Oryctolagus cuniculus: one gene and its partners. The protein of the gene in region 1 interacts with the protein of each later gene in a biochemical or structural test. Links are inferred from orthologs where the notes say so. Each region holds a gene or a part of one and is shown in the gene's direction. Other genes may lie near its edges.

Region 1 (4,310 bases):
GTGTGAAAGTGTTAAAAATGGCCTTTGTTCATCAGTGGCAATGAGCCTTGAAGGCTGTCCTCCAGTGGTGTCCAATAGCTTCTGTTCTCATTGATGTCTTCCATTTCTCATGTCGTTTGACCTGTGGAAGTCTTTTTCAATTGGCCCATTGTTATAAGGCCACCACAAAACACACCAAACACCAGAGTTAGAGGAAAGGTTTATTGTTGGGTGGAGGAAGCCCAATGGGCCCGGGGGAGAGGGCAAGAAAGTAAGAGAGAGTACACATGTGTGGAAAACAGGTCCTGTTAAACCTTTGTCATGGGGCAGGAAAGTAGGAGCAAGTAATCCCATTAGGGTGGGAGTGGAGCTGACACCTGTGGTTGGGCCATCTGGTCACCTGGCTTCCAGCAATGGCAGTGGGGGCTAGAGCCTAGGATTGTGTCCGGGGTGTAGATCACGCCACATCTAAGACTGCACCATTTTGCTAACAGTGTGTCTAGGTGTATCAACTCTTCAGCATCCAAACACTTTTTTCTTTAAAAAAATTGTATTTACAAAAAATTGTATTACAAATTTCATGTATTTCATATATATTTATTCAGGAACATAGTGACGCTTCCCATCCTACCCTCCCTTCTGCCCACATTTCCACCCTTCTTCCTCCTCCCTCTCTTATTCCCACTCTTAATTTTTACAAAGATCTGTTAACTTTATACCCAACACTAAGTAAATAGGTCAACAAATAGTGTGGGGAAAAAAAAAACAACACTGTTCCTCAACAGTTGAGACAAGGGCTGTTAAAAATCATCACAAACATTTTTTAAATTTTTTTGACAGGCAGAGTGGACAGTGAGAGAGAGAGACAGAGAGAAAGGTCTTCCTTTTCCATTGGTTCACCCTCCAATGGCTGCTGTGGCTGGCGCGTTGCGCTGATCCGAAGCCAGGAGCCAGGTGCTTCTCCTGGTCTCCCATGCGGGTGCAGGGCCTAAGCACTTGGGCCATCCTCCACTGCACTCCCGGGGCACAGCAGAGAGCTGGACTGGAAGAAGAGTAACCGGTACTTACCCGGCGCCCCGACCAGGACTAGAACCCACTGTGCCGGTGCCACAGGCAGAGGACTAGCCTATTGAGCCGCGGCGCTGGCCTCACAAACATTTTTTGAGCACCCTTTCTGAGCTTAGCATTGACTAACTAGAGGCAACATCAGCAGAAATACGTAGTCATTAAAATGAACAAGGTGTGCTCCCTGGAAAAAATACCAGTAGCCATAGAAGGTAAAGACTAGGGATATCTGGCAATACATGAGGTTGCAGTAAGTTTCCTGGGAGTTGCCTTTTCCATTGTAGCCCCAGTGAGGACCATCACTAAATCCATTGTGACCCCAAAGGTACTCTCATTCACTTCTCTGAGTCACATCAAAGCCGTTTATAGCCTGAAGGGTCTTGGTCACTTCATCACTTCCGCCCTTCTCATTTCCTGATCTGATAAAACTGGGTGAGTCCCACAGAGCAACCTCACACCACTCCCACACCACTAGAGGAAGAGATATTTCCACAGGCCCTTTCAAGTCAGCAGCCTTCCCTTCCCTTCTCAGAGCCATTCCTTGACTTGGAGTTGGATGTCAAGCTAGCGGGACAGCCTAAAATACAACAGGGCTCTCCATGGATCTGTCTTACTACCATGGCCCTCTGACCAAGCAGGACTGTGAAACCTTGTTGCTCCAGGAAGGGGTGGATGGCAACTTCTTGTTGAGAGACAGCGAGTCTATACCAGGAGCCCTGTGCCTCTGTGTCTCGTGAGTAGCCTCAGTTTCCACACATTTGAAACTATATATTCAAAGTCATCATGGCAGCCACATAGTGAAGGAATTGGGCTTCTCTCTGACTTTGCTGGGACAGGACGTGCATGTTCTCCCATATGCCCTTTTGCCCCTGGTGTGAATGCCACCTTTGTAATCTCTGCAGTAGCAGAAGCAGGGCTGTGGATGTGGGCGAAGGGGAGGATTGCAGGAAGCATGGGAGGTATGAGGAGTGGAGAAAAGGTAGAAATAGCAGAAAGTTCCTCTCCTCCGGAAGTCTGTTTATTTAATATGGAAAACATGTAGGGCTCTTTATGAAATTCTAATCACAAAGACTGACTGTGCTATATCGTGCTGCATCTCCTTGCAGTCCTTAGAAATACTAATGATACTAATGACATTTCACATTGTGTTAGATTTGTAAAGGGCCTCAATTTACATAATTTCCTTTCATCCTTCCTGTGGTCTATCAAGGCCAACAGAAGCAGTCCCCTCTAAAAGTGAAAAAACAGATCTAGATTTCTCAAATGCCTTGTTTGGGTTAAAAGTCATCAGCCATTCCAGAGTCTGAGTTAAATGTGAAATTCCAGGCTAGCGTATAAGAACTGCTCTGCTGAAAGAAACTGTGTATTTGCCCAGTTTACAGTGCAACCCCAAGATACATCACCTTGCATTAGTTAACAGGTCAAAGGTTACAAAATATTTTGTAGAGATCACCAAAACTTTTATTCTATCTACTATAGGAATTAGAACTCAGTGTCTCTTGTCAAAGATGAGAAGTTACTTGCTGACATTTGGTAAAGCATGGTGAGGGAGACTCTTTTGTGGAACCATTGTGACAGGTATAGGATTCACTACAATAAGGACTTGCAGTAGGGGAGAGAAATTGAATTCAACTCAGTATATGCATGGATTTGTGGGAGCTGATAATTAAGGAACAAAGCGAGGGTGAGAGAATAGGAAACTATAGGGGAAAACATAGAGGTGAGGGGGATTCTGGCCAAACCAGTCAGCTTGTCTTGCTGAAGACAAGCCAGGCTGATCAGACATCACCTGGGGGATGGCAGAGGATGAGAAACCTGGTTAGATATCAAGAGTGACCAGATATTAAGGGTGATGGGCACTTGTCAAACTGACTTAGAAAGGTTCTTTCCTAAAGTGGCATTTTAAAAGGAAGTGGGCATATGGGCCCATGAGAAGGTTCAGAAGTCTGACCCCTGTCAGGCCATGTAAAGAATCTTTTCACTCTGTAAATGAACTTCTGTACTTCTCAGAATTGGGAATCTATGAGGACAAAAGTGGTTGTTATTGCCAATGAGAGAGAAAGTCAAAAAGTTCATGAAATATGCAATTAAAAGATGAGTTTATTTTGGCATCAAAAATTGAAATACATGCATAGTTTTTTCATAATATGCATTTCTATGAACTTTTTGAAGATCCCATGTAAAATATGAAGGAATATATCTTTCTTAAAATGGTACTGAGGATACAAATATGAGAAAGATAGACTTAAGGTATTGTCAGTTTCTATTATCAAGTTACAAGTGGTATTGAGAATACTTCCTTATATTTCTTAAGCATTGGTAGTTCCTTTTATGAGAATTACATATTCACATCTTCTTAGCTTCAGTGGTTTATCTTCCTTTTACTTCTCTTCTCCAAATTCTGTGTACAGAGGTCAAACATTTTCTCCAAAGAAGACACAAACACAAAAGAGGAAACACACACACACACACACACACACATTCCTTTAAAATGAACTTTACATAAACTAACAGAAGTTGGTTACTCATTGAGGAGAAAAAAAACACTGTATTCAAGTATGGTACGATTCAAGAAATAATGGATGACTTCATGTTAGGAAAAATATTAGTGTAATTATACATTAATAGATTAAAAGTTACAAAATGCAATTAAACACACATACAGACATGGGCATGCATTTACAAACTTCTAACAATACAGGGTTCTACAGATACTCCCTTAACCACAGATCAGGTGCAGCACTAGAAGAATTCCTGCTAAGGGCGTCACTGAGTCAATGCTGCCCATCACAGTACTACCATGTAGCATGTACCAGGAAATCCTAACAAGTGTAATTAGCACATGGGGTAAATAAAAAAATGTAAAAAGGTAAAAGAAAGGTACAAAATTATTCTTTGACATTGTGGTGATTTTATATCTATAAAATCTAAGATGCTACTGAAAAGAAACTGCCAAAAACTTTAAGGAAATTCAGTAAGGGCTTCTATTTATAAAGTTAAATTATAAGAGGCAAGTGTTTGACACAGCTATTACGAGACCCACACATCCCATATCAGAGTGGCTGGGAGTCAGACCAAAGAATTTGGGTCCCTTTGCCAATGTGGAGGGACTCAGTTGAAAACCATATCAGTTCATCATAAATTAGTCTGTAAGTTCAATATGTTTCCAGTAAGAAAAAGAAAAACACCACCATCCGAATATTTTTAATTTATAGAAAGGATAGTGAAGTGTATCATGGTAGAACCTGAAGAAATGTTTAGATTTT
Region 2 (4,349 bases), about 2.0 Mb from region 1:
GCTGGACTGGAAGAGGAGCAACCAGGACTAGAACAGGCACCCATATGACAGAGGATTAACCTAGTGTGACATGGCACAGGCTCCAAAATGTCCTTTTTTAAGTTAAAGAAATGTGAGACAATAAAGAAATGTGTTGGAACATCACTTGTTCATTAGTGACACTGACAAATCAGATGACAGTTTTTGAATACTAAGAAAATATTTTCCCTGTTTTTTTTTTTTTTTACATCATCTTCAACATAAGGGCTATAGTCACGGCACATGTTTCCCTGTCACTTTTCACATCTAGACAGTATTATAATAAATGAAAGCTCCGGCTTATATTGTTTACTGATTTCCATGGTATAAATCCCCATGTCTGATTCCAGGCTCCCAACATGATGTCGTTGAATGAAGAGCTGGGAAGAGAGTCGCAGCAGCATCCATGACCTAGTAACTTACTTCCACCACAAAGAGACACTAGCTTTAACAATAGTAACTTCATAAAATAATTAGTAAGTATTGAGTAATTAGAGGGTTTTATTCCCTCCATTTTAAACATAATTTATTCAGTGTAAGTTTGTGTAAATACATGTATCTTAATAATGGCCGTGTTTATCAATCAGCTCACAGTTTCCTGAAAATATAATAATTGGCTTTCATGAGTTGATCTGTACTGGCTCTATCGCAAGATAGAGTGTCGTGCTGTGGGAACCATGGTTGGCTACTGGGTGAAGAAGGAAGGGGAACGGTGAGAATAAAGAGCAAGTTCCCACATATAACCAATTCTTATCACCCTGATCCCCTTGGAGAGGCCAATAGGAGAGTGTCTTTGACCTTTAAGGTGGGTTCCAATTATGCTGACCTGGCCTTCCAAAGCCTCCTTGAGAGCACTGGTGGTAACAGCGTCTTCCCGTGTTCTATTCTCATAGCTCAACTCAGAACAGCACAGGGTCTCCTCCACCAATTCTAGCCATTTCTCTTCAATGAAAAGCCACACATTCCAAAATAAAGGTAACTCCCCAAAGCATGGCACAGGGCTCACTATATTCCAGCACATTGTATCCACAGGGAAACTGGATTTCTGCCAAGAAATCCACACCCCCACCCCCCACCCCACCTCTCTGTGCCTGTGGCACCAGGGCTGGAGTGCAGGCAGAAGTGTTCTCTGAGATTATAGGGCAAATGCATAGGAAGAGTTCTATCAGTTCAATAAAATTCAGTCATCTAAGTTGAGCTTGGAGCTGGCACATTTGAGGCTTGGCTTGACGAAACTCCCTCTTTTCTTTGCACTCTTAGAAGAGTTGTCAGAGGGAACTGCTCAGAGAAGTCATGACATCCATTTCCTGGAGACAGCGAAGGAGAGTAGGAAGGGAGCCCATTTCAACCCCACTCGGGGGTTTGGCCGGGATGACTACACAACCCTTTTCCCGGCTCCAGTAATGTAAGTGCCTGACTCGTACGTGTTTCTTGAGAACAAAAAGTGACTTCAGGCCTGAAGAGAGATGAGCAATCCTCGAGACACAGGCAGAAAAAGTCCCAAGTGAGACAGGAAGCTAGTTCAGGAACCTGCTGGCTGCTGATGTGTAAACTAGACAGCAGAGGCAGCACTGCTGACACGCAGCCCGCTTCTGCTGCCGTGCCTGCGAGCGGCCGCCGGGCTCCCGGCCAGGCCCCCTTCCCTCTCCTCGCTGGCTGATGGATACCAAGGGGTACTTCTCCTGGAGCCTCCTGCTGGTCCTGTCCCTGGCTTTTGGACTGAGCTACGTAGCGGGTGAGTGTTCTTCTGTTTAGGGGTTTGAGTCCCACAGCTAGCTGCTGGGGACCAGCATAGCCTTGTGGATGGAGAGAAGGCATAGGGGCTGGGGACTGTGGGTCAGCTGCCTCTTCCTTAGGGACTGGCTGTGAGTTTTGACTGCCTCTTTAAGGAGGAAGGACCATTATGAGTTCCTGGGCCCTTGGGTTCCCTGCCTTAACCTCATCAACCCTAGTTTCCAAGGAAACCAGGAGCTCCTAGCCAAAGGCATCTGTCACACTCAAAACCAGCCTCTCATCACAAGAGGTTCTCACCGGGGTCCTATCCAAGCGGGTTGATTTTGCATGACTACCCTTCGGCAAGACCCAGGCTTTGGGGGACAGATCCCTAGGATATGATTTGTCTGAATGCTTACATATACAAGCACACAAACCAGAATCTGGCCCAACAAAAAGCAAGGGCTACAGTGAGAAGAAAGGGTAAGAAGTGAAAACCCCAGGCCTTTGGTTGAGAACAAAAACAGTGGCCTCAGTGTGGTCATACTGGTGGCTACTTTCTTGGAAGAGAAGCTTCCAAAGCAACAGAAGGGGGTAATATTGGGATTTCTGAACCCAAGGCTGGTTACAGTATGTGGGAAATGCAAATTGAAAGCCCTCAGGGTCAGAGTGGCTTCAGCAGTAGAGCCAGATGGCAGCTGAAACTTTGGAGCTGGGCTTGTCTGCCTCTCAAGGCAAACTATTTTTTTCTGCTTAGTAGTTTCAGGGCTTGAGATTAAAAAAAAAAAATGCCAAACAAGAAAATAGACATTAGGCTGTTGGCATGAGGAGGAGAAGGATCTCCTGCCTACACCCCTGCGACTTAAGTTAGACTTTGGGAGGCAACCTGGAATAGAGGAGGCATTAGAGAAAGGGGCAGGGGGAAACCCTGAGGCCCAGGGTGTTTTTGGGGTTTTCAAGACCACAGATCCATCATAGACTTTGGCAGGAAAAGCCCCGGGATCTATGAGGGATGCAGGGAAGCCGTGTGTGGGATCTACCTCGTGCCAGTCTCCCAGGTAAAGAGGCCTTTCCATGGCCTCACTCTCTTGCAGAATCAACAAAATCAGAGTTCTTACTTGTGGGATCTAGAAAAGGGACAACTGAACACAGGGCTCAGAAGGCCACACTGGACCACTTAGAGTGATCACAGGGAGAGCCAAGCTTCCCTTGTTGTACCTCATTTGTGACTTAGGTTTTTGGCATGCTTGTGTGTGACTGTAAGGAATGATGGATTGTCCTAGCGGTTGGATTTTCTGTCTCCATGCTTATTTGAATGGTCAAGTCAGTTACACTGGTCAGTCCAGCTCAAGGTATTTCTCATACAGCTTACAGCGGCTCTGGAGGTAGTTGGTGAGGGAGAAATGGCCCAGCCCCAGAAGGCGTGTCTGCTCAATTGGCTGCTGCTCCTTCACTTGTGTTCCATCTTCTGAAATGTATACAAAATTTTTTCAGTCTTTCTCTTCAAATATGCACCCTTTTGTGAAACCCCAATAAAACCCAGACGGAAACACTTTGCAAATGGGACAGGTCAGTCATGACAGATTTACCCAACCAAGGTTTGATTCTTGTAAAATCAGCAACACTCTCCTTTCCATCTCTGCTCAGCTCAACTTCCAATTCCCAGTCAAAATCATAAAAGCCTAAAAATTCACATGTCCCCTTCCCAGCTCCCACCAAGGAAATTTTTCTTAGAAGATTTTATTTTTAGAGCAGGTTTAGGTTGACAGCAAATGTAGCAGAAGGCAGAGGTTTCCTAAAACCCTCTGCCCCACACAGACAGAGCCTCTTCTGTTATCCATACCTCCTACTATGGTGGTACATTTGTTAAACTTGATAAACCCAAAAAAGATTTTTTCCTTTTTCCATGCAGGACTTCCTCATCCTCTTCACATACAGGGGCTAAGAGGTGAGAAGCAAGCATACAGTTCTAGCCTTGACCTGACCTTGTGTGTTTAATGGTCCATTGTATTCCAGGATGTTGATCTAGGTGCTTGTAGTTCCCAAAAGCTTTCCTACTGTGACATCTAAACTAACTCCAGGACTGGAGTGGAAATCAGAACACCAGGACATTTTGGTTTTATCCATAGATGGACTTTGGGTGATATCTTTTAAGCAGCTATCTATTAAGAAAACATGATATGGTAAGCATTGTACAAAGTGTGGAGAAAGCAAATAGAATGATCACAGCCACTGCCTAGCCCCTGGCACAGTTGTTTGTATGTGAAAGTGCATCCAGAAATGTTTGTTGAAAGAAGAATGTTAGTACACATTTCATATTTGCTATGTACCGGGCACTGTTCTAAGTGCTTTGTGTGTATCTGTCATTTACGTCTCACACCAATGCTATGAGATGTATTATCATTATTACCATTACAAATTTATAAAAAAGGGAGGAGAGGTATGGAGTAATTTAACAGTTTCTCCATGCTCATACAACCTGACACCGGAGATCTCAATGAATGAAACTGGAGAACATTATGCCTGGAAAGCGGGGATGATGCTGAAATTTGCATCCAGCTCTCATGGTATAAGTTAGAATATGCGTTCTATAATTGAACTGTGTGAGTTGGATTGAA
Region 3 (3,615 bases), on another chromosome or scaffold:
GAGATCTCCCTTCCTGCCCTCCACCTGCAGGGAAACTCCTGTGCCACTTCTGCTAGGCCACCCCCTCCCCTCCTCACCCTTGGGAAGAGAGGCGAGGTAGGGGCGAGGGATGTGTGTGCTCTGAAGGAGTGGGAGAATTATTACAGCTAATGTTTGTGTTGCCCCAGCTCTGTTTACAAAGACTTGCCATGTTTACAGACTGCCTCTGGATTCAAGCTCTCGTTTAACTCTCTTGTACCTGCTTGGAGGGAGTAAGAGTCGTTAGGACCCAGTTTAGGCCAGGAAATAGTCGCTGGGTGCCAAGGAAATCACAGGTGTGGAGATGAATCCCAGGGAGCTTCTGCCCTGCAGGTGCAAGGCCTCACAAGGTCACGGAGAGAGTGGCTGCGCTAGGGTTCTGGTCTAAAAACAGCCTAAACCGTGCAGGTGTGTGTAGGGGTGAGCCCTGGCATGGCTGTGGCCGCAGGGGTCTGGGGATGAAGGGAGTTCCCTGGTGGTACTCATGGAAACCAAAGGAAGCCTTAGCTTTCATGCTGTGAACAAAGAAGCAGCTTGGGCTAAAGGCTGGGGGAGAGGAGAGAACCCATCAAAGAGCCCGGGACTGGGGCCAAACCCTGACCACCAGTGTCCCGCAGGAGGGACAGGAGGGAGTGCGCCCCGCTCTGCACGGAGGAATGGGCACCGAGACCGCACCTGGCCCCTTTGCCTCCCGAGGCAGACTAGACTGGGTGTATGCACTCAGCAGGCACAAGTTCTGTTCTGTGGGCCCTGTGCTGGCTCTGGGCTGGTCCTGTCTCACTCTTGGCCCCTGAGCTTGGGGCTGCTCAGGGGCCAGCGTCCCTGGTGGGCATTAGAACCTTCCACCATGCAAGGCTGGGTATGGGGGTCACCGAAGGGCCTGGGGAAGGGGCCCGTAGGATGGAGATGGAGGCAGGGGAGGCACCAGGTGGGCCTTCTGAACAGCTTGGCAGGGGTGTAGCCTGCAAGGCTCCCGGGCCCTGGGTACCAATTCTACCACCTGCCGGCAAACCCTTGAGAGTCTTAGTCTCGGTTCAGCCGCAAGCAAGTCAGGTAAACAGACTGGCTAGCGGGGCGTGGCTGCCACTCTCCCTGACCCTGCTGCCCAGCCCCCTGCGCTGCCTTAGAGCCTGTTCTCGGTGGCATCAGGAGAGTGACTGTTGACACCGTGTGTGCAGCGGAAGGACCTACGTATAATCCCGCCCCTGTCGCTCATGGGGCAGTGTCACTGCCAGCCTGTTTCCTCTGTGCAGGGTGGCAGTCCCGGCCCCCAGCATGTCGTGAGGATTGCCAAGTGCCTGCTGGGCGCACAGTAGGTGCCCAGCCCGGTCAAGGTGGCGCTTCCATGGTGGTGGCTGACTCGTTGCCTGGCTGCCCTGGCTAGTGTCCCTTGCAGGTGGTGGAGAGCCACAAGGAGTGGACCGCCACATGGGGAGGGCCCCTGCCCCAGCCCTGTCAGTCCCTGTCCCCAGCTTGGGCCAGAGCTGGGATCTGGGCCTGGAGACAGCTGTGTCTATGCAGCAGCTGAAGCTGCTGGCGGGGGGAGGTCCCGGCAGCGGGCGTTATTTTGGGCCTGGCCGCCCACCCCCGGCTCCTGTTTCTCTTGGGAGTCTTTGGGGGGAAGGGTTGGGGCAAGGGAGGGGTGCAATGGCAAAGGGTGGGGAGACCTGGCAGTCCCCTGTCCTGGTGTCCGGGGGAGAGAGATCCTATCTGCCCAGCGGGGAGGACCAGAGAGCAGCCTGGGCGTTACTGGGAGGCCACCGAGGGATTCCCGGCTTGCCCCGCCAGCCTTTCCCCGGCTCTTTGGGGCAGGGGTGGGGGGGTGGGTATCTTCTCGCCCCCTAAGACTTGACCTTAAGCTGCAGGTGGCTGGGAGAGGAGAGCCCCTGGCGCCAGACCCCCAAACCCACTGCTCTGGTCCCTGGGAGGCGCAGTAGAGACCGGCAGGAATTCTGGGCCGCTCAGGCACCTGCGAGCCTGTGTAACTGACGGTGCCCTCCGCCCGCCTCCCTCCACGCTCCTGGGCAGGACGCGCCAGGTGATTCATGTTCTCACCGGAGCAGAAAAACAAGTTCAACTGGGCACTTTCGTCTCCCCCCACCCCCGCCGCTGGCAGACATGGGGCATGCTGCTCCCAGAGTGCCCCTCACCAGGGGAGGGTCACCCCTCCCATCGATTCCCTGGGCTGAGTGGCTCCTTCTGGTCTCAGGAACCCCCATGCTAAGGCCCAGGAGGGGTCAGGTGCGACGGTGCATCTTGGTTGGCCCGGGCAGGTACACAGAGCTGACGCTGTGCCCCCGTGGCAGGAGTTTCATGGCACAGATTCTGCCAGCTGGTTCTGGAGCCCTGCCCTGAGGAGGTGGCAAGGGCGAGGGTGCCAACGTAGGTACCTGCAGAGCGTGCCTCGCCCTGGCCCAGGATCTTCTGCTGGGGTCCGGATGCCCATACTGGTGTCTGAGGCGCCTTCTCTTTGCCGGGGGTGGGGTGGGGAGGTGGGGAGTTCTAGAGGTCTCTGCAGCGCCCAGGGCCCGGGCTGCCCCATGTCCCAGCTATGACACCCGCCGCCCCTCCTTCCCCACTTGCTGGGTGGCACTGTGGGGGCGGCTGGCGCTGGCCAGGAGGTTGACAGTGTGGGTGTGTGAGAACGGCCTAGGGAGAATGCCCTGGGTTTGTTGACTTGGGAAAGGGGCAGGGGGTACCCAGAGGTTTCATGATTCATCATCGCCTCTTGGGGGTTTTGTACCCCCCGGCCCTGCTTGGTGCCTGTGGGACAAAGGGAAGCTTTCTTTGCCCTTCTTGGTGGGCAAGCCCCCTGGGGCCGGCACACAGGGCCCCTCTGGGTGCCCAGGGCGGACCCAGCCAGAAGGGAGCCTCTCCCCAGATTTGCCTCTTGTTCCCGACATGACGCTGCAGGGGGGCCAGGAAGTGGGAGACGGGCTTTCACAGCCGCGCTGCCTCCCCGTCTTGGGGCGGGTGTGGAGGGCAGCATCCTCTGACCTGTGTGCCCCCTCCCGCAGTGTGCACCGGCACAGACATGAAGCTGCGGTTCCCGGCCAGTCCCGAGACCCACCTGGACATGCTTCGCTACCTCTACCAGGGCTGTCAGGTGGTGCAGGGGAACCTGGAACTCACCTACCTGCCTGCCAATGCCAGTCTCTCCTTCCTGCAGGTGAGGCCGGGGCAGCCCAGCCAGGCCCTCCTCCAGCTGGGCTGAGTCCTCTGATTATAGGTGGGCGGTAGAAGAGGGTGCTTTGCCCTGTGCTTCCTTAGCCGGGAAGTCCTTCCTGATGTCTAACTCCTACCCATTCCATTACGAAATCAGTTGACTTTCATTGTGTCACATAGCTGGCCGGGGCCCTGAGTGGGATGCGTCTGTGCTTCTGCCACATTGGCGCTCTCTGGCCAGCGTGACCACCTCCCCTGTCGGACTGCCCGGGCCACGGTCCCTCTCCCACCTATGGTAGCGGAGAGGGTGGTGGGAGAGGTGAGTTCCAGGCCCACTTCTGCCGCTCATGTGCTGTGTGAATATGATCTAATCCTTAGCTGCCCTGGGCCTCAGCTTCCCTGTCTGTATAGTGGGAGCACCAGGCATGCTGG

What was found.
Region 2: the proteins of SH2D1B (region 1) and SLAMF1 interact in a test that uses a peptide from one of them, tested with the Homo sapiens proteins (2 studies listed by BioGRID). The link is inferred for Oryctolagus cuniculus from reciprocal best matches to the Homo sapiens genes SH2D1B and SLAMF1.
Region 3: the proteins of SH2D1B (region 1) and ERBB2 form a complex in vitro, tested with the Homo sapiens proteins (2 studies listed by BioGRID and IntAct, with this or other methods). The link is inferred for Oryctolagus cuniculus from reciprocal best matches to the Homo sapiens genes SH2D1B and ERBB2.

Annotation. Positions count from the first base shown.
Region 1 is NC_091438.1:36,298,437-36,302,746, forward strand, and holds the start of SH2D1B (SH2 domain-containing protein 1B), read left to right. Parts: upstream 1-1,496; 5' UTR 1,497-1,643; coding exon 1,644-1,777; intron 1,778-4,310. UniProt on the Homo sapiens protein: Cytoplasmic adapter regulating receptors of the signaling lymphocytic activation molecule (SLAM) family such as CD84, SLAMF1, LY9 and CD244. In SLAM signaling seems to cooperate with SH2D1A/SAP.
Region 2 is NC_091438.1:38,255,998-38,260,346, forward strand, and holds the start of SLAMF1 (signaling lymphocytic activation molecule), read left to right. Parts: upstream 1-1,534; 5' UTR 1,535-1,677; coding exon 1,678-1,753; intron 1,754-4,349.
Region 3 is NC_091448.1:22,688,363-22,691,977, reverse strand, and holds part of ERBB2 (receptor tyrosine-protein kinase erbB-2), read left to right. Parts: intron 1-3,035; coding exon 3,036-3,187; intron 3,188-3,615. UniProt on the Homo sapiens protein: Protein tyrosine kinase that is part of several cell surface receptor complexes, but that apparently needs a coreceptor for ligand binding. Essential component of a neuregulin-receptor complex, although neuregulins do not interact with it alone.